Oreochromis niloticus: one gene and its partners. The protein of the gene in region 4 purifies or fractionates together with the protein of the main gene of each other region. This does not show direct contact. Links are inferred from orthologs where the notes say so. Each region holds a gene or a part of one and is shown on either strand. Other genes may lie near its edges. The genes, in order: hif1aa, grb2b, fgfr3 and hsp90ab1.

What was found.
Region 1: the proteins of hsp90ab1 (region 4) and hif1aa purify together in Homo sapiens (affinity purification with western blotting; 3 studies listed by BioGRID). This does not show direct contact. The link is inferred for Oreochromis niloticus from reciprocal best matches to the Homo sapiens genes HSP90AB1 and HIF1A.
Region 2: the proteins of hsp90ab1 (region 4) and grb2b purify together in Homo sapiens (affinity purification with mass spectrometry; 3 studies listed by BioGRID and IntAct, with this or other methods). This does not show direct contact. The link is inferred for Oreochromis niloticus from reciprocal best matches to the Homo sapiens genes HSP90AB1 and GRB2.
Region 3: the proteins of hsp90ab1 (region 4) and fgfr3 purify together in Homo sapiens (affinity purification with mass spectrometry; 3 studies listed by BioGRID and IntAct, with this or other methods). This does not show direct contact. The link is inferred for Oreochromis niloticus from reciprocal best matches to the Homo sapiens genes HSP90AB1 and FGFR3.

Annotation. Positions count from the first base shown.
Region 1 is NC_031983.2:11,962,810-11,970,747, forward strand, and holds the start of hif1aa (hypoxia inducible factor 1 subunit alpha a), read left to right. Parts: upstream 1-4,932; 5' UTR 4,933-5,228; coding exon 5,229-5,260; intron 5,261-7,938.
Region 2 is NC_031969.2:8,811,511-8,818,647, forward strand, and holds the start of grb2b (growth factor receptor-bound protein 2b), read left to right. Parts: upstream 1-4,136; 5' UTR 4,137-4,308; intron 4,309-5,719; 5' UTR 5,720-5,901; coding exon 5,902-5,979; intron 5,980-7,137. Other genes in the region: mchr1b (melanin-concentrating hormone receptor 1), read right to left, coding at 1-608, 801-864. UniProt on the Homo sapiens protein: Non-enzymatic adapter protein that plays a pivotal role in precisely regulated signaling cascades from cell surface receptors to cellular responses, including signaling transduction and gene expression.
Region 3 is NC_031983.2:7,173,643-7,180,678, forward strand, and holds the start of fgfr3 (fibroblast growth factor receptor 3), read right to left. Parts: upstream 3,025-7,036; 5' UTR 2,517-3,024; intron 2,400-2,516; exon of another isoform or gene 2,176-2,399; intron 1-2,175.
Region 4 is NC_031980.2:14,202,377-14,209,220, reverse strand, and holds the start of hsp90ab1 (heat shock protein HSP 90-beta), read left to right. Parts: upstream 1-3,830; coding exon 3,831-3,980; intron 3,981-4,101; coding exon 4,102-4,308; intron 4,309-4,424; coding exon 4,425-4,584; intron 4,585-4,922; coding exon 4,923-5,056; intron 5,057-5,137; coding exon 5,138-5,443; intron 5,444-5,551; coding exon 5,552-5,717; intron 5,718-5,830; coding exon 5,831-6,021; intron 6,022-6,531; coding exon 6,532-6,679; intron 6,680-6,791; coding exon 6,792-6,844. UniProt on the Homo sapiens protein: Molecular chaperone that promotes the maturation, structural maintenance and proper regulation of specific target proteins involved for instance in cell cycle control and signal transduction. Undergoes a functional cycle linked to its ATPase activity.

The DNA of each region.
Region 1 (7,938 bases), on a different chromosome or scaffold from region 4:
TCTGCTGGAGATTCCCAGAAAAGTTACACAAATCCTGGAATGATTTCATGCACAGTTGGAATAGTTTCTGAGTGATGCGTCTCCACTCTGGAAAAAACACAAATTCACACAGAAACTCAAAATAGTGAGCTGCTCCGTCCACTGTTAAATAAAGGGTTAAAATCACCTGAAGCCTGAATATCGTCAGTATATCGGTTTCGAAAAGAGATAACGGTTGAAATTGGGTTAAAGGATCGAATTTCACTGAACTCAATTCCCAATAATAGAGTATGTGTGTTTTTTATTTGTGGCCCGCACCCAGTAAGAAAAACTTGGCATCCGTCGCAGTGATTCTCCATGTAAATTGCTCTGCCAGGCATGTAGACGATGATGCAAGATTTCATGTGAGGTGAAAGCAGCTCGATGATTCATGGTAACTGTGAAATACTGAAAAGTCTGTAGATTTCACAACACTCTTAGTATATTGTTTAACTGCCAGAGTCTTTGAAAGCTTCCAGCACTTTCTGCAGACCTGCTTGGTTAAGTGAATTCAAGTTTTGTTTTTGTTCTTTGTTTGTTTATTCTTATCCATAAAAAATATAAGAAAAACACAAAAGTCTTGAAAGTTAAACCCTGCAGTTCTGTGCAGTGCATCTAGTGGAGGGCCTTCAGCGGTGTATTTTGTCAAACCAGCAGAGAATAAACAGGAAACCACACAGCGTCACTACTGTCGCCTCTGCTAGAAAAAGGAAGAAACAATAAGTGATGCTTATTTTTCAGGGGGGTGACATTGAGTTCATATATAAATGCAGTATTGTATACTGCATGATGTTGGAAATAAAAGCAAAAACTTAAACAAAATGACAAAAAAGAAAAGAAAACCTTGTGTTGAGATGAATCTCTTTCCTCCGGAACTTGCACAGTCTTCCTGTTAGTTTGAATGAGGAAGTTTGGGTCTCGACATCTGTTTATCTCTTCAGCTGGGTGTCCTGTGGAAGATTCTGTCTCTAAATACTGCACATTAGCAGCTTAATACTCGGAAATGCCTCAAAATGAAGCCTCCTATGCTTTCCGAGCACAGAACAAACCTTTTGAGCTAAGGAACCTGCTTGAACCTGCTATGGTGATGCGGTTTCAGTCCAGTTCCCCCCTCTGAGGGAAGCAACACCATGAAATGAAAACAAATTTCTATGAGTGATTACCTCTACCCTTTGATGAAACATATTGGAGTAGTTGTGCATGATGAAAATAGCTCCATCCGTGTGGCATGATGAGGGACTGGAGGCTTACATGAGTATGGCCTCCATAGCAACCCATCTCAACCCAAAGAAATAGCTATGGTGACAATTCTGCCCCACTCTCCACCACCATCACTAAAACACCAAATGCAGGAAGATCTTTTGGTAAAATGATGGCGTTTTAGCTACTAAACTGCACTGAAAACTTTCCTGGTCCAGCACAACTTGTTGCTTGTCTATACATTTGAGCCAGTGGTGTGTCACAAATCTCTTCCTGTTGCGGTTCAAACCCCTGTTAAGCCTCTGATCACTCATTATTTAGAAGAGCCTTGATGTGGACTTTACAGCAGCCCACTAATCTACATTAAGCTTTCCCTAACAACGATGGTCGAGATGTGCTATATAAAGCATAGGACAGTGGATTAAAAAACTTTGCTTTTTGTTTATCCTTTGTTGTGCCTCAGTTTGGCAGCTTTCCCCCGGTAGTGTCTCAGTGAAGGAGAGATTTACGAGCTTTCCTTCAGCGTTCATTACTGAGACTTCCTGATAGCTGCCAGCAGTGTCTCTGCAATGACTGATTGAATAAGTGTTTGACCCTGCTGTCCTGTGCGTTTGATTGGTAACCCCCCAAAGCAGCGACCGATAATGGAAAAAAAGTCTCTCTGCACAGACGTCACATAAGTAATTCCCTATAGAAATCTATAAATCAGTAGCTTCATTTTTGTCAGTAAATGAATAGGAAATGGCCTCATATTCACTCTGACCTATAGTTAATATAAGATCATGACTCATAAACTCTTAGAATTTACTTAAAGTCATTCAGACATCTGTTCAGGAAACTGCTTCTTATCAGATGGTGTCTTTTATAACAATGACAATGCAATCTTCCTTTTGCATTTCAACATTTCTCTTTCAGAGCTGTGTTAATGCTGTTATCACACAGCAGTATTTCCTTAATGCATTCTTATATAAATGTCTTAGTTTTGTTGCTCGCACTAAACGCATTACGAAAGGCTAATCTTGCATTGTTTGTTGGCACATTTTATGCTCAAGTGTACAACAAAAAAGGTGTGGCTAACACCACCTCTCAACTTCCCGATATCATAATGTTAATTACAGTGTGGAGATAAGTAAGCAGGATCTCCAACAGCTAAGTGAATTTTAAAGTGAAAGGTCATTGTTGACTTTCAAATCGAATAGCAGCATTACGAGTTAGGCAAAATAAACCTGTAAGCTCGGTTAGTGTTGCCGAAGCACATATTGCACAGCTATGTTATAAAAAAAATCCATCTGATTTACATCTAAAAGACGCAATAGGCATATAAAACACACACACACACACAATTAATCCTATGTGGACATGCACGCATTACTTTTAACTAATTTCCTCAGGTCTCTCTAGTTTCTAGGTCTAGTAATAAAGGATTTTATCAGGATTTAACTTCAATTTCCACACTTTTGCCTTTTTTTTGCCTTTTTTGCCTTGTGTAATAAATAAAAATGTAACCCTCCCAGGTTTGTTCGATGAAATCAATATGAACCGTCAAGATAAAGTTCAATTCAGGGGCGTTGTGCCACACACCCTTCATCTAACGAGAAGTGACAGCAAAGGCTTTGTCTAACTATCGTGACCAGATGCAACTATCAACATGTAAGGCAACACAGGAAAGAATAAACTAACCTGCGACTAACTTTTTCTGTGATTTAGAGGTTGAGAACAGAATCGTTAGTCTGCGAGTTCATTAGTTTAGTTTAGTTAGTTTTTGCTGTAATTTAAGTTATTTTCAGAGGTGATTTTTCTGGTTTCAGCTGAGTTTTTATTTTTAAAAATATCTACCATTTTCATTATATGTGTTTTATTATTATTTATTATAATATGGATAGTATTTGTTAAACACAATCTTAGGAGTGAACCGTTGGTATAGAGGACTGTTCAAAAAGATGGATGCAGACACTCACTGTTGTAGATCTCTCCTGACCTTCTCCGTACAAACTAATGATCATTTGAACCAAAAATGTTGGTTTTTGGACCAAAAATGTTAATCTTCAATTCATCATTGCATACAACCTGTTACAACTGATGTAATTTGGCACATCTCAGCGTTTTCTCCCTATTTCTCTTCCTTAACAATGGCTTCTTGATAGCTACCCTTCCACTGAGACCATTTCTGATGAGGCTTCAGTGAACAGTACATGACTCAACTGAGGAGTCAGATAATCCTCTGTAGGTCCTGTGTCAGGTCTTTGCTGAATTTTTCCTATTTCTTAAAGACACGACTTTCAGATATTGTTGCTATGATATACCAAGTTTTCAGCAAATAGTTCTTTGGAAATCACCGCTTTGGTGCCCATCAAACTGCGTTATTTTTGGCATTTTTAACAGCTCAATCTTTAAATATAACTAAAAAACATGTTTTTGTTACAGGCTGATAGTAACAAAACAATATAAAAATTTGAAATTTGAAAACAATTCGGTCAGGTATAGGAATTGGATTGTCAATGAGTAAAAAAAGCAGCCAATGTCCAAAGAGAACCTTGGAAAGACCTTCACAAAGCCTGGAGAGCTATTGCTCAAGACCACATTAAAATTTACAAGAAAGTCTGTCTCCTTGGAAACAAAATATAAAGACATGAGAGATGACTCAAGGCTTTTACACTGTACTGTGCTACAAAAGGATCATAACACATTGTGGTAATTGAGGTAACTAACAAGCCATAAAGTAAAAAATACAGACTCAGTAAATATATTTGTATTTTATTGGTACATACAGTGTTGTAGCAATGTGAAAAGACTAAAGTGAAAGCCATTTGGTGTGCATTATATTATGTTGCATTATTATGTTGTGTAATAATGGATATTATTATATTGTTATGTTAGCTTTTCTAAGTACACAATATTATTTTAGTTATTTTTCAGTCCAGTTATTTACAGTTAACCAAAACGTTTTTTCATACATAGTTTCCCCCTTTTGCTTTTCTTTTACTGTCATTTTTCTTTTCCAAAGTAAAACTGAATCACAGATTTCGATAATTATTATAAAATGAATTCCACAGTGGTGAAGGAGGAGAAGTCTGATTGGACAGAAATATCCAGAGCAGTGGAGGAAATTTACCAAGCCCGCCTCCAGGACCAAAGAAATCCTCATCTGCCCTTGAACTTTTTAACTTATAAAGTCTAATAACATTTCAGAATTTTTCCTGGCTCAGACTCAAGGGGCGACACGACAGTAAACTTATTATCAACGCACAATAAAGCAGTGATTCTGATCAGTTTTTTGTTTGAATAAAGAAACTCGAATATTATAAAACAAAAAAAATGTTACAACACTGATGATTTTTGTTAATGTCAGTCCTTTGTTGGGTGCTAAAAAGCCTTTAATGAAATGTAACTGCATATAAAAATACTGTTGCATAATAATATTATTGTTTAGGCTTAAATACAATGCTGTGACACTATTTGTGGTATAACTCACTATGACTGTTTATGAACAGCTTTTGTAAAGAACTCTACATTTAACACCATTTAAAACAGTGCTGTTTTATTTTATTACATGTGTTTATTTACCGCAGAGTGATATTTAGCTATTAACAGACGCTGTTTGTCTCGCTGTTGTAGGCTCTTCTTTAACATTACAGCAATCTGTCGTTTGTCGGTGGGACGATTTCCTGTGCGCGTCCTCGATGAAAAAAAAAAAAGAAGCGTGTGACTGCGCGTCCCCGGAACGGAGGAGGAGTGAACACCTCTACTCTGAAGCAACATTGTCTCGGCAATTGAACGTCTCTCCAGCGTGGCAATATTTCAGAAGCAAAGTCGACGGAGGATCTGCTTTTAGCGGTCGAGAGTTTGATTTGTTGAACTAAATCCACAAAGAGAGGACTCTTATGCAATCCACTTGAGGATTTACGGACTGATATCGGTAGAAAATCGTGGGATTTTGGTTCATTTCTCGACGGGCCCGAACACAGCTCTATACCGATAGAGAGACTCCACACAGGTCTTTTCGTCCTGAAATGGACACAGGAACTGTACCCGAAAAGAAAAGGTAAGAGCAGTGCCGGCTAATGCTACGTATGGGCCCAGTTTTTAAGCATAACTGGAAAATATGTGTCTCTATTTAGCGTTTGGTTATTGTGAGACCTGCGACACTGTGGCCTTTTTTTCAAGGTTAAAGGCTAGTTTGGTGTGTTTCGTCAAAATGTGTCGGCTAGCGGCGCTGTTAGCAAGCGGCTAACGCCGCTAGCCTGCAAAATGTAGGTCAACCTAATAAAAACTTTGTCAAAAAATGTTGAGTTAACAGGTAAACAGCATCAACTGGTCACTACCCTTTACATCAATCTAGACTTAGTATTTTTTTACTTACTTACGTTACGTTAAGTAAGTGCTACTTAGCCAGCAACGTTTTTGTTTGTGACCATTGTTAAGACTTCCTGCATGCAACATGAGCGTTATTTACATTTGTTTTGAGTGTGACACTTTGCTTATTATATAGCTTATTAATAGTGTATCACTGGTGGTGTACTGTTTGGACTTTAGGTGCCAACCTTGACACTTCAGTGAAAGGCTGCCAGCGCTCATGTGATCAGTGTGGTGTGCGGTTTCTGCTGTAACGTTGAGGCTTTTTTTGGGAGCAGGCCTTGGTATGAGATTTCTGCGTATGGATTTGTGGTTAACTATAAAACCAGAAGAAGGCATAATTATCTTATTTTGGAAAGCCTTGTAGAATATACTGTACCCCCTCAATACTGAGCAATATCAATTGCACAAAATCCACCACCCCCACCAGAGTGATCAACTTTAATAATCATCAGAGTGCCATAATATCATGTTAGTGGCTAGTAACTTTTATTTTTACAGAAGCCCAATTGATAATAAGTCTTCATTTGGAGGTCTGTGTGCTAGAACAAGAGAAAGTTGATAAACCATTTTGACATAAATAAGTTGAGTTGTATCTTAAAAAATAACTAATTCATTAATGTTTAGGTAAAATACAAAAAAACAAATAAGTATGGCTATTACAAGTTATCAGAGCCCAAAGGTGTGTGTGATGGAAAACGAGGATTTTCCAGCCCCAAACGGGCCTTTCTGGGTGAGAAGCACATTATTAAACAGTCTGTCACCTTACTTTTCAGAAGTCAGTGCATACAAAAACAAACAATCAGTCAAAATAAAATAATAACACCTAATATTTAAGGTTGGTATTATTTTTAAGTAAACCTTACTTAAAAGTGGTTAACACATTTCTGTCACAGGTCTGGTGGCTAGAACCTTTATTATTAAATGTAGGAAATCCTTAACATTTAGCCACTGTAACCATTACTTTCCCACAACAAATAAAATGTGTACAACTGTAATACAACTCAACTGCACAGGGATTAATCCAGCAAGACTACTGCAATATGTAGCAGATTTTCATGGGTTTTATTGCTGTGCTTGAGTGAAAAAGTGGTTATTAGTATTGACTGTAGAAGAGGATAACTTGCCTCCACTCTGCAGCAAGCGGATTATTCATCTGGGCCTTTCTGTCATTCTTGGATGTTCTAAAATAGGCAGACAGGTGATGAGATTATGCTTCTGTGTATAAAGCTTAGATTAGACTACAAAACAAACAGAGGATAAAAGATGGTTATAATGGTAACAGCAGTCACGAGACCAAAAAATAGTCTGATGAACAGAGTGAATCCTCAGATTAAAAACACAAAAAAACACCAAAAAAGGTGGTCATAAGATGGTGAAAGTCATGAAAGTGAAAACAACCTGCAGGTAGGCTGATGGCAAAATAGTAAGAATAACACTGTTTTCAGAAAAGCTTGCCATGTGTATATGCAGTTGTCTTTAAGGAAAACTTGTTATGTGTAATGATGCAAAATATGGTGGGAGGATCTCTAAAAACGGTTGGTGAAACATTTGTCAGAACGACATTTTTGAAACATTGGCAACTCAACATGGGTGCAAACTGGTTTAATTGAACATCCTAAAAGGTGCACCGGGCTGTTGTTGAGATCTTATCATGACTGTTGTGTTTATCTGTTACCTGCGTAGTTACATAAGGAAAGTAACTGTGACACTGGTCACCCTGTAGATATTTTTAACAAATGAATACTCCATTTCCAGGCAGTCACCATATTTTAGTGTAGATTGCATTCAGGGGCTTTGTTTATTGTCACCTAATTTGGAGTTTAGGTGAAAGGCTGACATGTAGATTAAAATGTGTTGAAAAAAAATTCCAGTGTGCAGTCTGGTTTGATGCAGATCTGGCTGGTGTCTGTGAGGTGCCTTTGTAGTATTACTTCTGTCTCATCTCTTAATCACTAGGGCTTGACGTCAATAGGAGTGGCCAAATGTCTGTGTGTGTGTGTGTGTGTGTGTGTGTGTGTGTAACAATTCGCTAGCTTGTAATTTCCTGGTTCCCTTGAGGGATTCAAGTAGCAGGCTAGTCTGAACTTGAAAGAGAAATTGGGTTACTTGATAATATGAAGCATAGGGGGTGTGTTTGTTTTTGTTTTTTATGGACTTTTTTGTTTTGGTTTTTCCAAATAAGTCAAAAAATGTGTGCTGAAGGCTCACATTTATCCAACATTTGAATAAACATTCACTTCAGGCCCTCAAAGCTTTAATTGTGATGACTGATTTTCTTAAAGCAAAAAAAGCACTTTACAGAAAAGTAGAGGAAAGCCCCTGCTGGGGTTGTGTTGTGAACTGTTGTATAAACAATGGATCTCT
Region 2 (7,137 bases), on a different chromosome or scaffold from region 4:
TGACATATTTTGGAGAATCTTGAAGAAGACACTGCAGATGACCACTAAAGGGAGAGCAAAGCCCAAGAAGAACTGGTACAGGGTGAACCAGTATGTATCTGTGGCCGGGTTTGGGAGCAGGAGGGCGCAGCCGACCGAGCCGTCCTTGAGACGCATGAGTCCAGTGTACATCCAGACAGGAGTGATGGAGACCAGAGAAAACACCCACACCAGCGCCACTGCCGCCCCTGCCACGAAGGGGGTTCGAACGTGTTTGAAGCGGATGGGGTGGACTGTTGCCAAGTAGCGGTCCAGTGTCATGACAGTCAGGATGTACGTGCTGACGATCTGGCTGTTGGAATCAAGCGCCGTGATGACGGTGCACATGGTGCCACCGAAGCACCAGGAGCCATTGCCCACGAGCTGGTGAATGAGAAAAGGCATGCCAAGGAGAAAGAGGAGGTCTGCGATGGACAAGCTGAAGATAAATATGTCTGGCACTGATGGATGACAGCAGAACTTGGTCTTTTTCACAATGGTGTAAATGAGAATGCAGTTCCCAGTGATCCCAAAGAAACAAATAACACCAAAGATGCTGGGCATGAGCACATTGTTGTACTGCTCATGATCTGGTAGAAGGGAAAAAACATAATGTTCTCCATCAGCTTTCTTTCCTTATAACTTTTTTTTCATTCATTTGTTTTCAAAGTCTCAATAACTACTTTTTACATGAAAATGAACAACATAATATTCAATCTATGATGATAAATCTGCATGCATGTGCCCAATTCAACAGAAAAACGAGAAGAAGAAAATCCTACCTTTTTCCAGATTGTCAGGTGAGCTGAGGTATGAAGAAGATGAATTCATAATGTAGTCCTCCATCCAACCTCGAAGAATAATACGAATATACTCTAAAATAACTTATATATCAGTTTAAGGCAAAGAAGACAGATGAGCTTGAGAAAAAATGCATATTTTAAATATACATATACATACAAAAATACAGCTTACACTGTTGCTTTATGGCTTTGATAGCAGAGGTTCAGCCGCGCGCGCATGTTTTTGTTGTCCAAGACACTTCAGCAGGGCACGCGACAAATAAAATGCGCGCGCTCGCTTCAGCTCTGAGTCTGATATTTGGCAACAGCGAGATAAAGTACTCCGCAACTCGGAGACGCTCAAAAATCATCATTCTTATTTCTAATTTTGTGTCGTCACCCACTGAACAGCTGTGAGCTATACTCTCCGCCGCCAGTGTGAGTAATACTGGAAGTCATTCTTGAGTGAATACCTAATGGGCGATTTCCTCGCTTCATTCCACCTTATTTTCTTTTAAAAAGCGTTAGCCGTCCGACCACATAGCTTTATCATTCACAATGCCGTTATGATGGAGGTCACACGATAGGTTATCAGTTATAAACAGTCTAATTAATTGTCTAACTGAACAGTGTCACTCTCCATATTGTTTGCTGTGTAATATTTGGAAAAGATACGCGCATTTCTTATCTCAACTGTGCGGTATTAACATGTGACTAAGTATTTCTGGTAGCAACCCTTACGTGGTTAAAGACAGAAAGAACCGATTTTTGTTTAGTCCCACTAGGTGGCAGCATTGTCAAAGCCTGCTGTCACAGGCCAGGATTAAAAGCAGATGTGCAAGAAATGAAAACAGGAAAACAGAAGACCAAATATTCCAGCAGTTAGCTAAGTAAAGCTTTATGAGATGGCCTTTATGAGAAGCCATATGGATCCTTGAACATAATATTGAGAAAGTTGCATTCCTGCGTTCTCTAATGTGTCCCTTTCTCTTGTTTTTGTATATATAAATATTGAGTGTATATATTTCTCCTTTTAGCTATTGGGGCACAGTTGGTTTGGAGCACCCACAATTTCGTTGTACATGGACAATGACAATAAAGGGCTATTCTATTCTATTCTGTTCTATTCTATAGTAGTAGAATAGTCCAACTGTGTTTTGTCTAATTAATTACACTGCGGCTAAAATGGATGAATCTGTGTCCTTCATTTCCCATTTCAGACTAAATCAGATGGACATAAATGCATCTAAGTGAGAAATGTGTTATGTATGTGACTATAGTTAACAGTCATAGTAGTTAATTGTAGTTTGTAGGATAATGATAGATATGGGTGACAGTTTTGTGGCCGACTGCAGACAAGGGAATGAACTAGGGTGTGGCGTTGGTAAATGTTTAGTTTACAATGAACTGGTCATGTTCACTTCTCTCCCTTTACATATTTGGCGGTCCTTTTGTCTTGTCAGCTATGGTGTTGACATTCGGTTAGGGGGTTTAAAGTAAACTAGAAGATGACCAACCTACAAAGTTAAGTCAGGACACACAGCTGAAAAACTCAATAAGAGTCTGTGAATGAATTAATGCATAGCCATCCTGCAGCTTGCCTGTGACTGAAAGAGAGACTCAAGACCTGTGCTTTAGAAAAGGATCGGGGCCTAAATGAGACAACATCACAAGTTTTCAGGGCCATAAAGGTTATTCACTCATTGGAGCAGGTTATTTTCAAGATAACAGATCAACACTTACAAATCCAAAGCCTACTGACCAATCAGGTCTCTCTGAAAACACTGTAGTTATTCCCAGAAGAGCCCACAGATCAATGAGTTGTCAATGAGATGGTCTCAAATTTCTAGCTTTCCATTAGGATCAATAATAAGGGACTTTATCACTTGTTTTATTTTTTTGCTTCCTCCAAGCCCTTTATAGCCATTTCAACTCTACATGAGAGTCCTAAAGTATTGCAGGCTCGTTGACCTTATATGCCTTCTATTCACCACAATTATGATTTTTTTTGGCATCTCACGACCATTAGACACCACAGGATTTTAGCTGAAAGAATACGGATAAACATATTGTGCACACGACATGATGATGATGATGATAAATCTTTATCCGATTTTGGGAGTATTCTTTTGTTACACAACTGAAATGATGAATAATAATATATTAATGATGGTGATAATATTATCTGGCAGGTGCCTCTCTGTCAGATATATTGTGATAGCATGTGGCAGTGGAGCTGAATCAGTGTTAGAGAAGGTGGTCATCGTTTTTGCTGCATACACTGAAGGATTTCAGCTTCTTCGGGAAAGAGCCATCTCATCCTCTTCTTTTATACGGCTTCTTTGTTTCATCTTCCTATTTAGTCTGTTGTCAATGTGGATGCCCAGGTACTTTTAGTCCTCCACCACATCAACATTCATGTAACCATCCTCTTCTTTCTGAAGTCGATCACCTGTCTGGTCTTATTACCACTTACTACCACTTCATATCATCCTATAGTACTCTATACTCCTCTTCCGCCTGCCCATCACTAATACACCCAACCAGAATCAGATTATTGTCATCAGATTATTTCTATAAGTGCCATGACCTGCAGTTGTACTGAACGTCTGTGTACAAACTACACAGAAATGGGGACAGCAGACTCTCCTGTAGAGCTACTATACCTTCACCAAATCAGACAAAGCCCTGCCTAATCTCACAAACTGCAGCCTGGCTATCAGGTAGTCAGATGGATTACTTGTGGACAAGTTTACTCACATTTCCTATAGCTTTTCTTTCAGTAGCAGCGGCTAAATCCATTAAGTCTGATCTGTTCACAGGTAGTGATGTTAGTGATAGTACTGGCTTGCACAGTTGTCATCTTTTGCCAGCTTTCCTTCCTTTGGTTGCAGCTGAGTTTCTTTCTTTCAGCTCGGATTACATATTTTATTTCCTCTTTTTCTCTCCATGTTATAGTTTGTTCTTCTTTTGAGGATTATGAAAGCAGTTTGGTTCTGACCATGCTGTGGTGTCACTGCCTCTTGGATAACCTTTCAGAGTGCCGTTTTCACGTGATCAGATGGTGTAATTGCTGACGTTAGGTTTAGTTAAGCCAGATTATTTAAAAGTTATCTTGGCTAAATTGATCTCAGTGCCTTAGTCACGTGGTATAAATAGATGGTATTTAGCTGTTGATTAAAAAAAGAAACTGAACGATTTAGAGTGAGTGAATCTTAACAACTAATATGTCTCTGTGAAAAGTAATTTTCCTTAACACTGAAAAAGACTAGCAGGGAGGAGCTTACTTACACGGAGGCAGATCCTCCCAGTTCTTTGGAAGGAAGCGGAAATGAGCGTCATAAACCTTATGCTAGTGGCTAGTTTTTTAGGCTTCTAGGACGGGTGTAAGCGACACCACACGTACCTTGCTGGTTGCCTCTAGAGGAAGCAGGGAGTGGATAATTACACGACAGAGTTTTGCTGGTTTTTTATACAGTGGCACTATCGAAACGGAATATCTAAAGTGGTGAGTTTTCAGTACTCGTTGTGTCGGCACAAAAGTTGTGTACTGTTTTATTTGCTAACGCTGTTTTAGTGAAGTTCAGTAACGTTAGCTGGGCTAGCAGTAGCAATAACAGCTTGCGCTATGTTTAAAAAAAAAAAAAAAAAAAAAAAAAAAAAAAGCTGTTTTCTTCCTTTTCACATTTGCTAGCGTGAAACTAGCAACTAGGCCTCGGGTGCTAAGAAACACCCCACACTTATTTCAGACCAGCCACCAGCTTTAATTGATGTCGATGTCAGATGGTCCGGTGTGGAAGAATTGAGGTTCGGGTTTGATAACCATACTGCATCGCAGTTATTGTTGTCCGACCGTTAGCCGGCATGCTAGCTGTAGCGTTCTAGAACAGTGGGCGCAGTCTGTTGGCTGGAACGGAATCGATTCACTCGAGCCCGACTAAAAAAAAAGCAAAAAGCTGTATAAAACCATGCTCTGTTGCTCTTCATGCCCTTTTTGAAATGAAAAAATTCCACATAATTTTCACACTAATATGTGCGTGTGAGAAGGTTGTCATGTTTAAGGTTAGCTACAGTTTATATCTGCCTTTGGACTTCAAGCTTCCCTTTTTAATACTAAGCCTAATGCCACCTCTGACAGCGACGAGCCCTTTTGTTCTTTTGTTTTCAGTAACGCTGACTGGCAAATGAGTTGTTTGGCGTTTTGTTATTGTAAAAAGACACAAACGAAAGCGAATGTAGTAACGTTTTGGACTTGACGAGTCGGTGACGGCAATTCGTTTTCTCTAGAAAAATATGTCGTGTGTCGTTTGTTATTGCCTAACAATTAGGTTCTCAGAAATGAAAAGGAAATGCAGATTTTCAAAAGAGGAAAAAAGGATTTTTCATCCGTTTGGTGTTTCTCTGTGGTCATCTGGTGGGCTGTCAGGTTTAAAGGCCTTATTAGACGCACGGTTGTATTAGCGAAAGCCCATCAGGGCTGTACGGTAGCATATTAGCAGCAACTTAATTGGATAGCGTAACTTTATCTGTTTAACTAAATAGCCGTAGGTAGGTTTAGCCAGCGTATCACTGTCATCTCTGCTTAAGTAACCACCGTCTTATCTTTGATCGGGCCAGGTGGTTGGCTGTCTGGATGGGCTGTTGAAATTGACACTCGATGGAGTGAACTTTGTTCCCTTATCCTCTGATAATTTCTGGTTAGAGGTTTGCCACTGGTCATGAAATTGTGCTGTATTTTAGAGGCTGTTCAGAGGTCAAAGGGGATAAAGTTGAATCGTATGGCCAGTATGCATTTTTAGTGAAAATTTAAAGACTAAAAATGCAAAACAGACAATTTTAATTTTGCTTCTTGGTTTAACATTTGCCTGTCTACAGTTTTAGTTTTTCACGTTAGGTTTTTTGGTTTGTTTGTTTTGCAGGTACCTTTCTGCCACCTTTATGTGAGGTCTCAAACCTAAGGGAACGGGTCATTGACGGGAGGAGAGACGCAGAGAAAGCATTTGATCACAGAAGCCTGGATACGTGTTTTTAGTTTTTTTTCCCCCTCTTCAGTCACTGAAACGGCTGCAGATAAGCAGTTTTACAGCACGCTATAAGGACCATGGAGGCCATTGCCAAATACGATTTCAAAGCTACTGCTGATGATGAGCTTAGTTTCAAGCGTGGAGATGTCCTCAAGGTAAGTGACAAGTATTTGAGCATTAAATGTTCAAATTTGTCTGTTTTGCTCATAATTATGAAACTTTGGAAGGCGTATTCTTGCCCTAAGGTTTTGTTTTTATCCATTACTGGCACTGTTGAGTAAAAGTGCCATTAAAGTTAAATCTAGGCAGTAGTGGGCTATTATAGAAGGAAACAAAATCTAACACATCAGGTAGTTTGGGATGTAGCTCAATATCCAAAGTTCACCACTATCATGTGATTATATGCTTGGTAATTACATTTGATGGCATAACCTTTATGCTTAAATGTTTCTGCTATTTTTAAAATCATGAATTATTCAATTAAATTTACTTCTGTTGCACCAAATCACAACAACAGTTGCTTTAAGGCACTTTATATTGTAAGGTTAGAGCCCTCTAATGGTAGAGAAAACGCCAACAAAGAGACAATTATTGTAAATAGACATCATCAATGTGACTTTTGAGAAGTCACAATAAGAGATGAAAGCTGTAAAGGTTTCTTTTATGGACTAGTAATATAAACCTGTGGTCAAGTCTTCCTCATCACAGTAAATTGCTTTTATGGGCAAGGTCTGCTTTGCTTTGTGATATAGGTGGATGGAAATTAGGGGCAATAACATGCAACATGCCAAATTTTGTAGTTTACTTTTGGGGGTTGGGGGGGTTGTTTTTGTTTGAGGTTTTTTTTTTATTTTGTTTTTTTTATCATTTAGTTTTACTTTGCAGTCAGCTTTGGCGGACGAGTTGACGGTTCTGTCAGGGGAATGGGTGCTGTTTTCCCTGAAAAAGAGATTTGAGCAGAGAGTCTTGAAAAGACTTCTTATCACAGCAGGAGGGGGGAGGCCTAGAGGGAGAGAGAAAGTCGGATTAGGAAACACTGAGCTAAATATAAATTCTATTAAATTTGCATATGAGACGAGGAATTACTGAACTTTTTCACTAATTTCTACTGCTGGCTGTCTTGTCAAGCTTTTCACCAGATGGCTGAGTTCCATCCAAGAAATTAGTAGGAAATGTCTTTTTTTATTTTTTCTTTCAATTTACATAATTAAACATTAAATACATGCATTAGTGACTGGGAACGTCATGTACTTCTATAAAAGACACTTAGAAAAATCGAACACATACGGCAACATTTTATTTGGGGGGGGTTT
Region 3 (7,036 bases), on a different chromosome or scaffold from region 4:
CACAAATTTTCATGCTAATATTTTCTTAAAGCGTGGCAGGGAAACACAACTACGGCAATGAATAATGCATGAGCATTAATCATGCAGGACTATCTTCACATTGTAATAGCTCAGGGGCGGAAAAGCGCTTCAACCCGGGTTCAAATCCCTGTCATCCCTCTATCCTCAGTGAGGAGCGACGCGAGGAAGTCACATGCTAGTCACACCTCCATGGAGTGTCAGCAATCTTTAATAATTAAGTCGGATAATCAGCTTTGTGTTCTTGGGGGGGAAAAAAGGACATTAGAGGGTTTTTTTGGAGAGTGGAGCCAAGTGGAGGTTAGATGGGTAATAAAGAGACACACAAGTGGGTCATCTTCCTTTTCAGCACGCCTTTCTCTACTCCAACTTTTTTCCTTTGCAGTGCAATGCATGTCTCACACCCACCATCTCCCTTCTGCCTGTCCCTTCGCGACTTCTTGCCTGCCTTCATAGCTGAGCCACCCTCTCTTCAGAGCGCTCGCTCGAACGAGCCCTCAGGTGAGAAGAGATATTGATCAGCTGAGAGGCAGAGGAGAGCTCGGCACTTCAGAGCTGTCAGAGGTTCAGGGGTGACTCTGGGCTCAGCTCACCTTGGGCTGACACTCAGACGGGCGGCGTCTCGTCTGAGACTCAGCCTGCACATGGAAAAAGATCCGAACGCCAGGGTTTTGTCCTCTGTGTTAAAGCAGAAGATACAGATGGACAGCGAAGTCCCTTTTGAAATTATAAAGACTACATGAAGTGCTGCTAGCAGACACTGGGGGACATTAAAATGTTATAAATCGTACTAAGGTTGGTATAAACTCAGCTTTTACTGCCTCAGACATGTGAGAATCCTAATTACAGGGGAACAGAAAGACTAGAAGTCCTTACATATATAGGCACAAATTTTATATCAGAGGTATAGTGTAAAGCTCAGATAAGGTCACATAAGTTTATTTTCTTTGAATAGCTGGAATATGAAAGCAAATAAGTGTTTGTGCATGAAAGTAATGATCATTTTTCTCTGTCAAATTAGACAAGCTGAAGCAGATTAATGAACCCTTCTCTTTATGAACGAGAAGGAAAACGTAAAGGCACTAAAACAGGAGCAGAGCGATGGTCTCGGGCCAATTTCACTAATGAAAAGAGGCAATCAGAGTCTCATTTGGAACCGAAAGTGTCTGAGGCTCGCCTCTGATTGAAAAAGCTGCACACTGGCACGCATTATTTCTCGGGTCAATAGATACAATTAATTTGGAGCATTAGCACAACTATTATCGGTCGCACGCTTGTTTATGACAGCAATTTTTTTTTTTTTTTTTAATAAGCTAAAGCAACAGAGCCCAAATCTCATTTTCAGCGTCTCTCTCGCAGGACGCTATAATCTGCTAATTTTCTTCGGGTTGGGAGTTGACATGGTGGGAGTCAAAGCCGAGCTGAGTGGCCAAAAAGGAGGAGAAGAAGAAGAAGAAAATCACCATCTGAATCCCATTGATGCGCATGTGTTTGAAGAGGGGATGAGTGATCTGCTGCTGAGGGGAGAGAACCGCGCACAGTTCATTCACTGAGAGGGAGAGGAGGGGGGACAATCCGCCGCTTTCTAACTTCAGAGATGATCAGAGGATTTGAGGGAGTGCGGCTCTGTGAAAGAGATGTGCAATTCATATTTCAGCGCCAAACCTGAGAAGACGTCAGTACTGCGGTGAGGAGAAACGGCGTGCCCATCCTAACGAGCACGGGGATGGCTGGATTTTTTATTCATTTATTTATTTAAAAAAAACAACAACAACATAAAACCAGGACAGGTTCGATTCATTCTGAATGAAGAGCGAGCTCACCTCAAACGAAATCTGGCAGGTATCACCACAAACCCCCCCCCTTGTGCGTGATTTAATTTGGCCTCTTTCTTTCTAAAACACTCAGTTTCACAGTTTCCTTCATTCGTGGATTTTTCTGTAAATATTGAAAAACTGGAAAGGATGAAGGGAATGACTTTGGATGTGGAGAGAACGCTTTAGCGCAAATTACTTTTTTCCCCTCACTGAAAAATCAACCAAACTCAATCAACTGCTGGAAAAAGCATACACGTTTCCCAACCCAAATATGTTTTACAGTATTTTTTCCACTTGTTTTTTTCTTACAGCGTGCGTAATTTCAGCAACACACACAAACCTTTACAAGCCATAACAGAAACCGCTTTGCGCTCCTGCTCCAAACCCGTGGCAATAGATTTGCGCACTGACTGTTGATTTTCTCCAAGTCTGCTGACACCGGCCAGGACGCGCCAATTGCGCACGAACAGGGACCTCCACGCCACCTGTGCTGTGGCACAGCCGCGGGGCTGCTCCACAACTCACACAGTGTACACAGTCCTCAAAGCTCCAACCTGTCCGCATCTACAAGGAAGTGAAGCTGTGAGACTTGTGTGTCTGAGTCTGCGTAACCTGCTTGTAAATAATAATAATAATAATAATAATAATAATAATAATAATAACAATGTTTATAATATTTACCCACAGTATCCCGTTTTGACAGAAAAGATCAGCCTTCAGATTTTAGATGGCACCAAGCTTTCCTTGGTTGAAACAACCTCTAATCTCCGGTAAACTTCACAAAAAACCCACAAAACTACTTTTAAATCCTCACGTTCCAGCGCTTGGAGAGCAGTTTGGCGACAGCGGAAAAAAAAGAGTCACAAATCCCCCCCTCACGACTTGAAGGCGAGTGTCTTCGACTCGGGCACAGCCACCGAGAAAAGCCAACTTCTCTCCACTAAATCCCGTCCTCCGCCGCGCGCTGCTGTCCGCGTTGTCCAAAGTGTCCAGTCCTCCAAAGTCCGTTCATCCTGTCCTGCGAGTGGGCAGAGTGGACGAGGCAGACGGGGACGCGGGATGCGCGGTTCCTTTGCGTCTCCTCCGGCGCAGATGCCAGTTTCGGTGCGTTTCGTCGCTTCTGATCAACCAACGTAGAGTGGTGGCTCTTCTCCTCTCGCTGTCTGTGAAGTAGGAGTTGCAAGGTGCTGCCGTCAAGCGTGCACGGCTGGGAAACACGAGGAGTTCCAGGTCCACTTTCAAAATAAAATCCTTGGCTCGGATCCGATGACGCATGCTTTGCTCGGAGGCACTCATTCAATTATGAAAATGCAGGAAAGGTAAGAAAAAAAAAGCACTCGCCAGCCTATGAGCAATCTTCAAAGGAGCTCTGAGATGCAGCAATGGTTATATCGTACCGTTTCATGCGCTTCAGTACTTGTGTGTACTTAAATAAGAGTCTTTATTATTTATTGTTTTTTAAACGTATTTTTTCCTAATTGCTCAAATCCTGTCATCTCACCGTCTCTTTGGGTTGTTAAGTTGTGAATCAGTGTGTTTGATGAAAATCTGAATGCATTCTTCAATAAATAAATATGTAAATTACAATTTAAAATGTGTTAAAATGATATACCAACAGAGCCAGCTGAGGAGATAAATAAGTGAAACACAGCTAGCTGCCGTTAGCAGCAAACCGGCACTCAATTAAATCAGCCTGGCGGACTCAATTGAGTCATCAAAAAGAGTCCTATTCAATAAGGAGACTACACATTAGGCCTTTATTTTGAAGGCGGAACCATCGTGTGTACCATTGTGTGACGCTCATCTCTCCTCTTGAGTCCACGATGCCTCCCTCTGCCAGCCTGCGCGCCGCTGGGACAAACAGCAGCAGCGGGGGAAGGGCGATCAGATTTCGGCGCGCCGCCCCTCCGGGGTCCGCTAGAGGCAGCCGGTGATGGATGGTCCAAGCGCCTCCCATCTCTTTCTTTCAAACTTGAGAATCCTGAGCTGCTTTATGAGCCCCGAATTTTTTGTCTGACCCTCAGCGTGGGTACAGAGGCACCAGTAGATGGCTCTGAGATGTAATGAAGACAAGCGTGCTGTATGGAAATGAATACAGTGTCCGCAGACTTTTAGTTATCTATAAGAGTGAGGGGGATCTCAACCAGTTCCTTTCACTGAAAAAAGTTATACCAGAAAAACGTTTTTGGATCAGAAGTTTGTTGAATTTATATTTTGTCCATCTGAAGTCCTGAATATAGCAAATATGAGAAAACCCCCACTGTAAAACATTTTTAACTTATTTACCATTTATTTTTTAAAAAGGTGGGAAACGAAATAAAACACACTCTCGTAAAACACCCACCTTTGTGAGCTTCTGGTGTAGCCAGTGTTCAAAAAGCTCCTAAGTAATACTGATGGCTGCCATCACTCCTTTTGCTCGTCTCCCTGACTGTTCTCTATGATTCTCAATATCAAAGAATGTTGCAGCCAGTGGTTTTCGGGGTGCATGGTGCATACAGCGTAGCTCTGCGTAAACACCATTAAAGCTGAGGGATACATGCCAAAAGCAATGCATTTTCAGTAAGCTTTGCTGATCTGAGCCAGGCAGTGTCCCAATTATCCTGAAGTCTGGTGGTGGCATAAGCTTAAACATTTTTGAGAATTTAAAAGAAGTTTCACAAAGTATGTGAAACCAGAGACACTGTTATCAAGTAGTGTAATTAAACTCTTTGTCTTGCATCTGCTGATTCAAAATGTACCACCTCTATTTTCCACTGTTAAACATTATTAAATATGTATTTTTCCCTTAAGTAGGTTTATTGCTGTCTAATAATTACAGCTTACTGTTCTGGACTCTGTGGAAACTGTAAGTCATGCAATAATCTGTCAGAACTGTCATTCAAGATTGAGACCAGCCAATGCAAATGTTTGACCAGTCAGACCCCAAAGTGTGCTGAGTGAAGAGCAAATTACCATTAACCACCCATTTAATCTGCCATATACCGCAGCCTTTGGCTAATTACTGCAGTCAGGACAGAGGCGATAGCACCCGACTCTGCGTCAAACAACACACCAATTACCGACATCTCTTAAACTGTGTTTTGAGAAGGCAACTTTATGACACCATAAAGCGCAGCAGACCTCTGCTAAGTGGCTGCGAGGAAGGTTGAGAGTGTGCCACTATTTGTTCAGCAGAGGTGGGCTCCTCTGCAGTGATTTGTGACAATATGTGTCAGACGTGCACAAACTGACATGCATGTGAGAATGAATAAAGGTTTTTAGACATGGATCTAAATTACATGTATGATAAAGATGTTTGGGCGCTTCAATATTTGCTCATTGGTGTAAATAAATACAAGAATTTAGCTTTATTTTGTATTTTTCTACATACATCATGCATACAGGTGATACTGTACCCGTGCCCGACCTCATGGGAAAGTCAAATGGTGAAAGAACAAAGAGGTCCTCATTAATGTTGGTGAAGACGAAGAGTGCAGACTAATGATGAAGGTCAGTCCCGGTGACCCTTCGTACTACAGTGTTCTGTGAGAAACGCCGGTGGGAGGGAGGCAAGCTCGGGAACAAAAGCCAGTCGGTCGGGAGGAGAGGTCATACAGATGGTGAGAATGCTCAGTCAGACAGCTCAAGTACTGATGGGCAAACTGACCAAATGACCTCTTCGTGCACACACACACACACACACACACACACAAACAAAACTCCTCCCAGCTCCCCCACGACACTCTAACTTCTAATGAACTCACACAAACATATGTATTCACACACATAATACACCCCCTCCACCCAAACACACACACATACAGACACTTACAGCCCCCCCCACCCCTCGAGGGAATAGATCAGCAGGAGATGAAAGGTGAGGCCTTTTCATTTGAAATGGAGTTAAAAATTAAACAACAACAACAACGCTGAGTCCTTAGAGTTTAACTTGATTATCCAAAGACTGGCATGCCCAGAAGAAACTGACAGCCTTAATAAATTCTGTGTTTTTCTCTTTTTTTCTTTTTCACCCATTACATTTTTCAGCTTATCACGGCACATATTTTCACTGATAACCCCGAGTAGCCGGCAGCGCTGATTGTTTTCTCTTTGGGCCTCGTCGCAGCACACTGCCTGTGTGGGCAACAACCAATTGACTCGCACTGGCTTTGTCTGTAAGAGGTGCACAAAAGCAGCAGGGCTAATCATTAACACCGGAGTTTCGGGCCAGACAAAGATGCAGCACAATGGGAGGGAGTCGATCGCCGAGGTCACTTCGCACTCCGCTCGGCGGTGCTTTCTTGGTCCTGCACATACGCTGGTGACCAACTGCTGTCGTCACACGCTAACATACTGTATATCAGTGGATCTCAACAAGGGGGTTGTGACCACTCCAGCGAGACACTATATGACTCACAGGGGCTGTGAGATGAATGATGAGATTGGAAACAAGAAAAAACGGTTTTATTCTGAGAGAAAAGGTTCCCAGACACAAAGCATGTGAAACCAGAGACAAGCGCGCCCAAGTAGGCGCAATCCAAAAAGGTCAATTATCTGGAAGCGAGGTTATACAGTAAAACAAACTGGCTTCTAATTTTATTTACATTTTATACACAGCCCCGACTGTTGGATATCTGTTTGACTTGTTGGAACTTGTAGCTTTCACTTCGGTTTTATCACTAGCTGCAAACCGTGCCAAGTTTTTTGAGGCCATTTATGTGTATTGAAAACAGTGGTGCTATGCTGCTAACATGACAGCTTGTCATCAGGCTCTGCTTCCTCAGATCTCAGTGCAAACAGGACAGCTTGCAGCAAAATCACATGTCGGTGCATTTACATCATTTACATTAGTTCAAGAAGTATGGGTGACTATTACTCCAGGCTAATAAAACAAACAGGTTTGCCACGTTCACGATAAGCACAGCCTATTTGCTATTTACCATAATCAGTGCAACCAATGGGGCTTTGCCATGGTTTAGTTTCACCTGCAACAATATAATACTAATACTATCTAAAAAATAGATCTAATTATTTTAGATCACAAAATAATTTTGGGCATTGGTAGTATGGCGTTTTTTCCCAGCATCTTTTAGAGCAAGCTTATTGGCAATCGAGTGGTTGTGCGACCAAACCCAAGAACACAGGGAAACAGTCGATGCGAGTGCATGCGTGCAGCGACTCCCTTGTAACCACAAATTGCGATGGGCGCCCACACCTCA
Region 4 (6,844 bases):
CTCACAGAAACCAAAAGCTGGAACAAATATTGACATATAAATAGACATAAGGGCATGATCAAATGTTTATGTTTATAGACTGAATTAATGGTTTGCCATGTATCTAGTTATTCTTCATCTTTTAATACCCATATACTGACTAAATAATACCCACTTTGGATTATTAGAAATTACCTTGAAGCTTGCCAGAGGCTCCTTGTACTCTCTTCCAGCTCAAAAACAATTCCACATTTCTATAGAATTACAAAGAAAAAAAATAAAGTTGTCAAATTAAGAGGGTGTCTGCCTTTGCTGGTGTATTTCTACAAGTAGAATGTGTGTTCCCCTCTTACCGCCAGCAGCTGTCTGATCAACATGTCTGAAGCCTTTTCTGATATGTTCCCTACAAACACCGTTGTGGTGGGGCCACTGTTCTCATCACTGTCTTTGGCATTCACAGCAATGGTTTCCCTCTTAGGGACTGCAGGCTTGCTGAGCACTGGTACTGAAGGAACCATTACTGCAGGTGTGGGGGCCATGATACCCATGTGAACTGGGATCATAGGGGCTCCTGAAACAGCCAAAGAAAACATGCAACAAGCAATTACACCATTTTCACTTAAGATCTATGACTGCAGATTAGTAAAACGATTCTCAAATATTTTCAGTAATGTAGCGAATCTCAACTACCTTCAGTGTTGCGAATATGCCTCTTAATAATGACATTGTGGCAAAACTGAAACAAAACAGGTGAACGCCAATCAGAAGGGTGCTTACCTGGGGGAAAGCCTGTGTACTGAGGAGGGATGCCTGGAGGAGGCAACAGCGGCCGATTTAAATGAGGGGGGAAGGACATTGTGGAAGTGAAGTGGACCGACCTGAAGAAGGAACCAAGATACCCGTTATCAGCAGCACCAGATGTGTAATTAAATCAAGTCCTCTAAACAATGTAAAATAAAACAAAGAGCCAAACTTTTAAAACGATTAGTTTAAATCAACAACACTATAAGAGAAAGCACAACGATGTTTATTGGTATCTAGTCATATGAATGTAAAGTACCCGTCGGTGACTTCTGCTGCCCAGCAGCAACAATACTTAAACTTAGCTTAGCTCAATGGGATGGCGTTCGCAGGGTGACTATTATAAAGTCCCAGGACCCACGTATTGTTATTGTGTTACAACGAGTTAATTTGCTCACTGTTTATGCGGCCAAAAAACTAGCAGCTTAGTTAGCTAAAGCTAGCACCGAGCACGCTCCAGTGTCCCCGGCATAGACTTAAGCTAAGCTAATATTAGCGCAACCTGGCGTTACTTAACAAACAACACTCAACTATTAGCGGGCAAAGTTAAAGTTCAAGATAAATCTACACATGCCCAGGTATACATACCTTTAATCAGGTGGTGTTTAAAAGAATAAAAATACTCTCAGAAGGTTAGTAATTATGAAAATTCCTCTAACGTTCCAAATGTTGGATTAGCACGTTGGCTAGTCGGGCCTTCAAAAAAAAAAAAAAAACATTTGACGCAAGCGCTTTACGCGCAACACTACATGAGCGCTGGCTTTGTACACCAAGACCTGACCACTGGACGGAGTTTACTAACGATACTAGTAGCTACTGCGGCAATAACTGTACTACTATTATTACTAGAGTCGTTAGAGTATAGTTTTATACTAGTATTGTAATATTAACATCAATAAGAAAAATCACTACTCTTATTATTATTAATATTTACATAGCATTCCTAAAGGTCGTCTAGAAGGTTAATGAAACATAAGGTTAGGGAGCGTTTGTCGATGTTGAAGGTTTGCTGGGTTAAAAATGGATTTCAACACTATAATACAACTCCTGCACTTGTATGTACTACTTTGGGGAAATTTTAAGACATCGTCAATTTAGATTTTTATTTTTATTGAATTACATTAATATGTAATTCAAAGACGTAGTCTATTATTTGTGCATAGGAGTTCCTCCATAATGTCTTTTACGAATAAAATAATAATTTTGACATCCGACAGAATAAATATCTGAAGATCAATTATTTATTTATTGCATAAGCAGCGTTTTGTTTTTGATGGGTTTTTTGTTTGTTTGTCTTGTTTTGTATTTTGTCGGTGCCTCTCGGAGACAGCGGCTGTTACGTGAAGACTGCGACTGACATCGCGTGACGTCACTTTAGGCGGGATTTTCATGGAAAGTGCTAGAAGAAACGAAGCACACCCTGCATGTTTTTGAATATTCCTCCATCAGATTAAAAAGATCTAAAGTCTTTGTTGGTCTGTCGGAAAATTAACGGTATACTCGTGAGTTTTATTGACTTTATTTGTTAGACTGATTTAAATTATGCTTTGATAGCATATCGCGGCAGCTCTGGAAACTAGTATAAAATAGATCGATTCGGACAATACTTTCGTTTTTGGTTTTAACGGCCACAAGATGGCAGCAATGATGCGCTTGTCTCAGAAATAAAACTGTAATACTGTGTTTTCCAGGAGATTAGTATAAAGTAGTATAAAGTGTTTTTGAATTCACTTTACTAATTAATCTTGAAAAAGTCCCCTTGTTTTTGTATACCTAATATAATGGCTTTAAATCTCCAGAGATTTGTTTTCTTTAGTACACATTACACTTCAATCCACTGAATTAATACCTGCTAAAATGTCTTAATAATATCATATTTATTTATTTAGTTATGGTATTTCCTCAAGTCTTCATTCAAACTCATCACATGGTGAATGTAGCCTTAAAACATTAACTGTAATTCACTTGGTGCACTTCTCCTTACTAGATGGCGCACCGCGGATGGATACGACTGCACAGTGAAGCACGTGTATAAAGATACCGGTCTATTAAAAGGAGGTCCCTTTCCATTTCTCTGCGTCAGACAGCGTAAGGGATAGCGATTTGGTTGCATTTTATTCAAGAAAAGTCAACGAAATTAACAAGGTATGTAGACGAGCGGTTTCTTGTTGGTTACTACGTGCTTTAGCCTTTGATATTTGACCTTTTATTAAACAGTCATTATACAGTACAGCTCGTATTCTCACGAGTTACGGTTGTAACCTTAAGTAACTTTGGTCAGGTACAGCTAACATATCACAGTAGTATTCAGAATTTTGGTTTTTAATTACTGTGGAGTAAGAAATGTTTGCACTTGTCACGTAGACGTCGAGCGGTGTAAATGCTGCACTCTGCCGCACTGCCCCAGCCGTGTGTAGTACCAAGGCAGGTGTGGCGAACATGACAGCGCTGTATCGGTTCATAAATTGTACGACTGGTCCACATTAACAGAATTAATCCTTTTAAATCTTTATAAGAGTAACGTGAACTGGCTTGAGTCGATTTCGCTTAGTCCCCGTGTTCACGTAGCTGTCGCGTGTCTATAAAACGCACGAGTTAGTCTCTCAAGTTGCCAATGCTTTCAGATTTATGCTCGTCTTAAGTGAGTGGTGTTTTTAGCTCTTATTTATTCGAATTGGTGGCAGAGCCGTTTTATATGACAGTCACGTTTGCTGTCGTTAATACACGGCTTTAAGTTGCTCTTCTGGGTGAACCTATTTTGCCGCATTGCATAAGCTTTTTTTCGTTATTTTCATCGGTAGCTTTTCCTTAGCACGTGTTTGCGGGGTCCATTGTCTGTCGCTCGACGCCATGTTGGTTAACGGCCACTTCCGCAACATGACGGCAGTTATCCATATTATGTAACCGACTTCTGACAGGATCAAACGGTGATACAGTTTGCGAAACTGAAAGTAGTTGAATATATGTAGTTTAACCGGATCCCATAATTAGCCTTATCCTGTTTTTATCGAAATCCACCCATTTTATTAAAGCATACACAAACTGTTTTAATGCAGATGCCTGAAGAAATGCACCAAGAAGAGGAGGCTGAGACCTTTGCCTTCCAGGCTGAGATCGCTCAGCTGATGTCGCTGATCATCAACACCTTTTATTCCAACAAAGAGATCTTTCTCAGGGAGTTGATTTCCAACGCTTCTGATGTAAGTTAGCAGGAGCAGAGCTTTTCATTCAGCACTGATGCATTTATTTTTAGCCATTTTTTTGTGTTTCTAAATGCTTAAAAGAATGTTAGTTTTAATCCTGTTGTTTAAACATTTGCAGGCTCTGGACAAAATCCGCTATGAAAGCCTGACTGATCCCTCCAAGCTCGACAGTGGCAAGGATCTGAAAATTGACATCATTCCCAATAAGGCTGAACGCACCCTGACCTTGGTCGATACTGGAATCGGTATGACCAAAGCCGACCTCATTAACAACCTGGGTACCATTGCAAAGTCTGGTACCAAGGCCTTCATGGAGGCCCTGCAGGTATGAAGGGAATGCATCTCAGTATGGAACCGTAGGGACGCTTTATAAGAGGAAAGCATTTTCCATGTTCACAATTAAGCTGAAATCTAACATTAGAACTCACTGTGTTCCTCTAGGCTGGTGCTGACATCTCCATGATTGGTCAGTTTGGTGTGGGTTTTTACTCTGCCTACCTTGTTGCTGAGAAAGTGGTTGTCATCACAAAGCACAATGATGATGAGCAGTATGCCTGGGAGTCCTCTGCTGGAGGTTCTTTCACAGTCAAGGTTGACAACAGTAAGTGTATTGATGTTACAATATCAGAACTAAACCCGTTTTTAAATATTGTGGGTACATCTAAGGATGTCCCTGATTTCTCATGAATTGGAAGCAGTTCTTACTATTAATGGTCTTGATGTTGTTAATTGTGTATTGGTTTTCATGTGTCTGAGGTTACGATGTAGCTTTAAAGTATTAAGAGAGTTGTTTTCAATCTTGGCGTTAAAGTTGGCATCGTCTAGCAAAGTGCGCTCCTTTAGAGGCTTAAATATGGATTTGAAGTATCTAAAAATTGAATCTTGACTCCATGGACACTTTAGTACAAAATGTCCTAAAAGCATCACAACTGTTCACAGGTGAGCCCATTGGCCGTGGAACAAAGATCATCCTGTACCTGAAGGAGGATCAGACAGAGTACGTCGAGGAGAAGAGGGTCAAGGAGATCGTGAAGAAGCACTCTCAGTTCATTGGCTACCCAATCACCCTCTTTGTAAGTGACTCTTATAGAGGACGTTGTTAGTATACCATTAAAGAACGGCAAAGTAAAAATCAAAGTAATGTGAATCTGCAGGTGGAGAAGGAGCGCGACAAGGAGGTCAGTGACGACGAGGCAGAGGAGGAAAAGGCAGAAAAGGAGGAGAAAGAGGAAGGTGAGGACAAGCCAAAGATCGAGGATGTTGGCTCAGATGATGAGGAGGACTCCAAAGACAAGGACAAGAAGAAGAAAAAGAAGATCAAGGAGAAGTACATCGACCAGGAGGAGCTGAACAAGACCAAGCCCATCTGGACCAGGAATCCTGACGACATCACAAACGAAGAGTACGGCGAGTTCTACAAGAGTCTGACCAACGACTGGGAGGATCACCTGGCTGTTAAGGTAAGCAGGTTAACCTGAACAGCTCTTCCAGGTTTTAATTGGCCTACTGGGTTTTTAACGTAGTCATAAACTACAAATAAAGCTAAACGGAGTCATTTTCCTCTACAGCACTTCTCAGTGGAAGGCCAGCTGGAGTTCCGTGCCTTGCTCTTTATCCCCCGCCGCGCACCTTTTGACCTCTTTGAGAACAAGAAAAAGAAGAATAACATCAAGCTCTACGTCAGGAGAGTCTTCATCATGGACAACTGTGAAGAGCTCATCCCCGAGTATCTGAGTAAGATGACTTGCTTTTTACCTTTAGTCTGAAAGTACTTTAATTTACAGCTTAGCACACAGTAAGGAATTGCTTAAAGGCAAAGGCTTAGTGTAGCATTTATGTTATTCCAGACTTTATCCGTGGTGTTGTGGACTCCGAGGACCTGCCCCTGAACATCTCCAGAGAAATGCTGCAGCAGAGCAAGATCCTGAAGGTCATTCGTAAAAACATTGTCAAGAAATGTCTTGAGCTTTTTGCTGAACTGGGTGAGGATAAAGAAAACTACAAGAAGTTCTACGAAGCCTTCTCAAAGAACCTCAAGGTATTTATAATATTCTGGCTACTTTTCTTTTTTTTGTGTCTTTAGGAAAGTTGGCTCTTAAAATTCTCTTCATTTCATGTCAGTGCATCTTCTTGGACCTCAAAGGTTTACCTCTTTATTCTTTAATCTGGTTTGTAAAGCCCTCTTCAAAGTAGTGTAGACTTTTTTGTGTGTGTGTGTGTGTGTAATAACCAGATCTTTAAAACCCAGAAGAATAGCTGTTTTGGCATTTATGTAATCCCATGCAGTCAAATCTGCATTAGGAATAGAAACTTCCCACATTTAGGCTGTAGACTGAAAACATGTTAATTAAAAGCCTAAAGTGACAAACTATGTAGCAGAATTCATGCAGTGTGCAATGTCAGTGTGATTAGAATAGTGACATTGCTGGCAGTCCATCCCACCTGACCATACACAGGTGGGATTGACTTTTTATTTGAATCCATTAACCCTACTGGTGTATGAGATTGTTTTTGGATAAGATGATAAATCTTATTTGTTCACTTGTAGCTGGGTGTGCACGAGGACTCGCAAAACCGCAAGAAGCTGTCTGAGCTGCTGCGTTACCACAGCTCCCAGTCCGGTGACGAGACCACCTCCCTCTCGGAGTACGTGACCCGCATGAAGGAAAACCAGAAATCCATCTATTACATTACTGGTGAGTAAAATAAACCTTAAGTAGCTTCTGAAATGGTAGAAGAGAACTGCATTTACACAAGTATTAAAAATGAAGTTTTATTCAAACTTTATCGCTTTTTTGTCATTTGTAGGTGAGAGCAAGGATCAGGTGGCCAACTCTGCCTTTGTTGAACGTGTCCGCAAG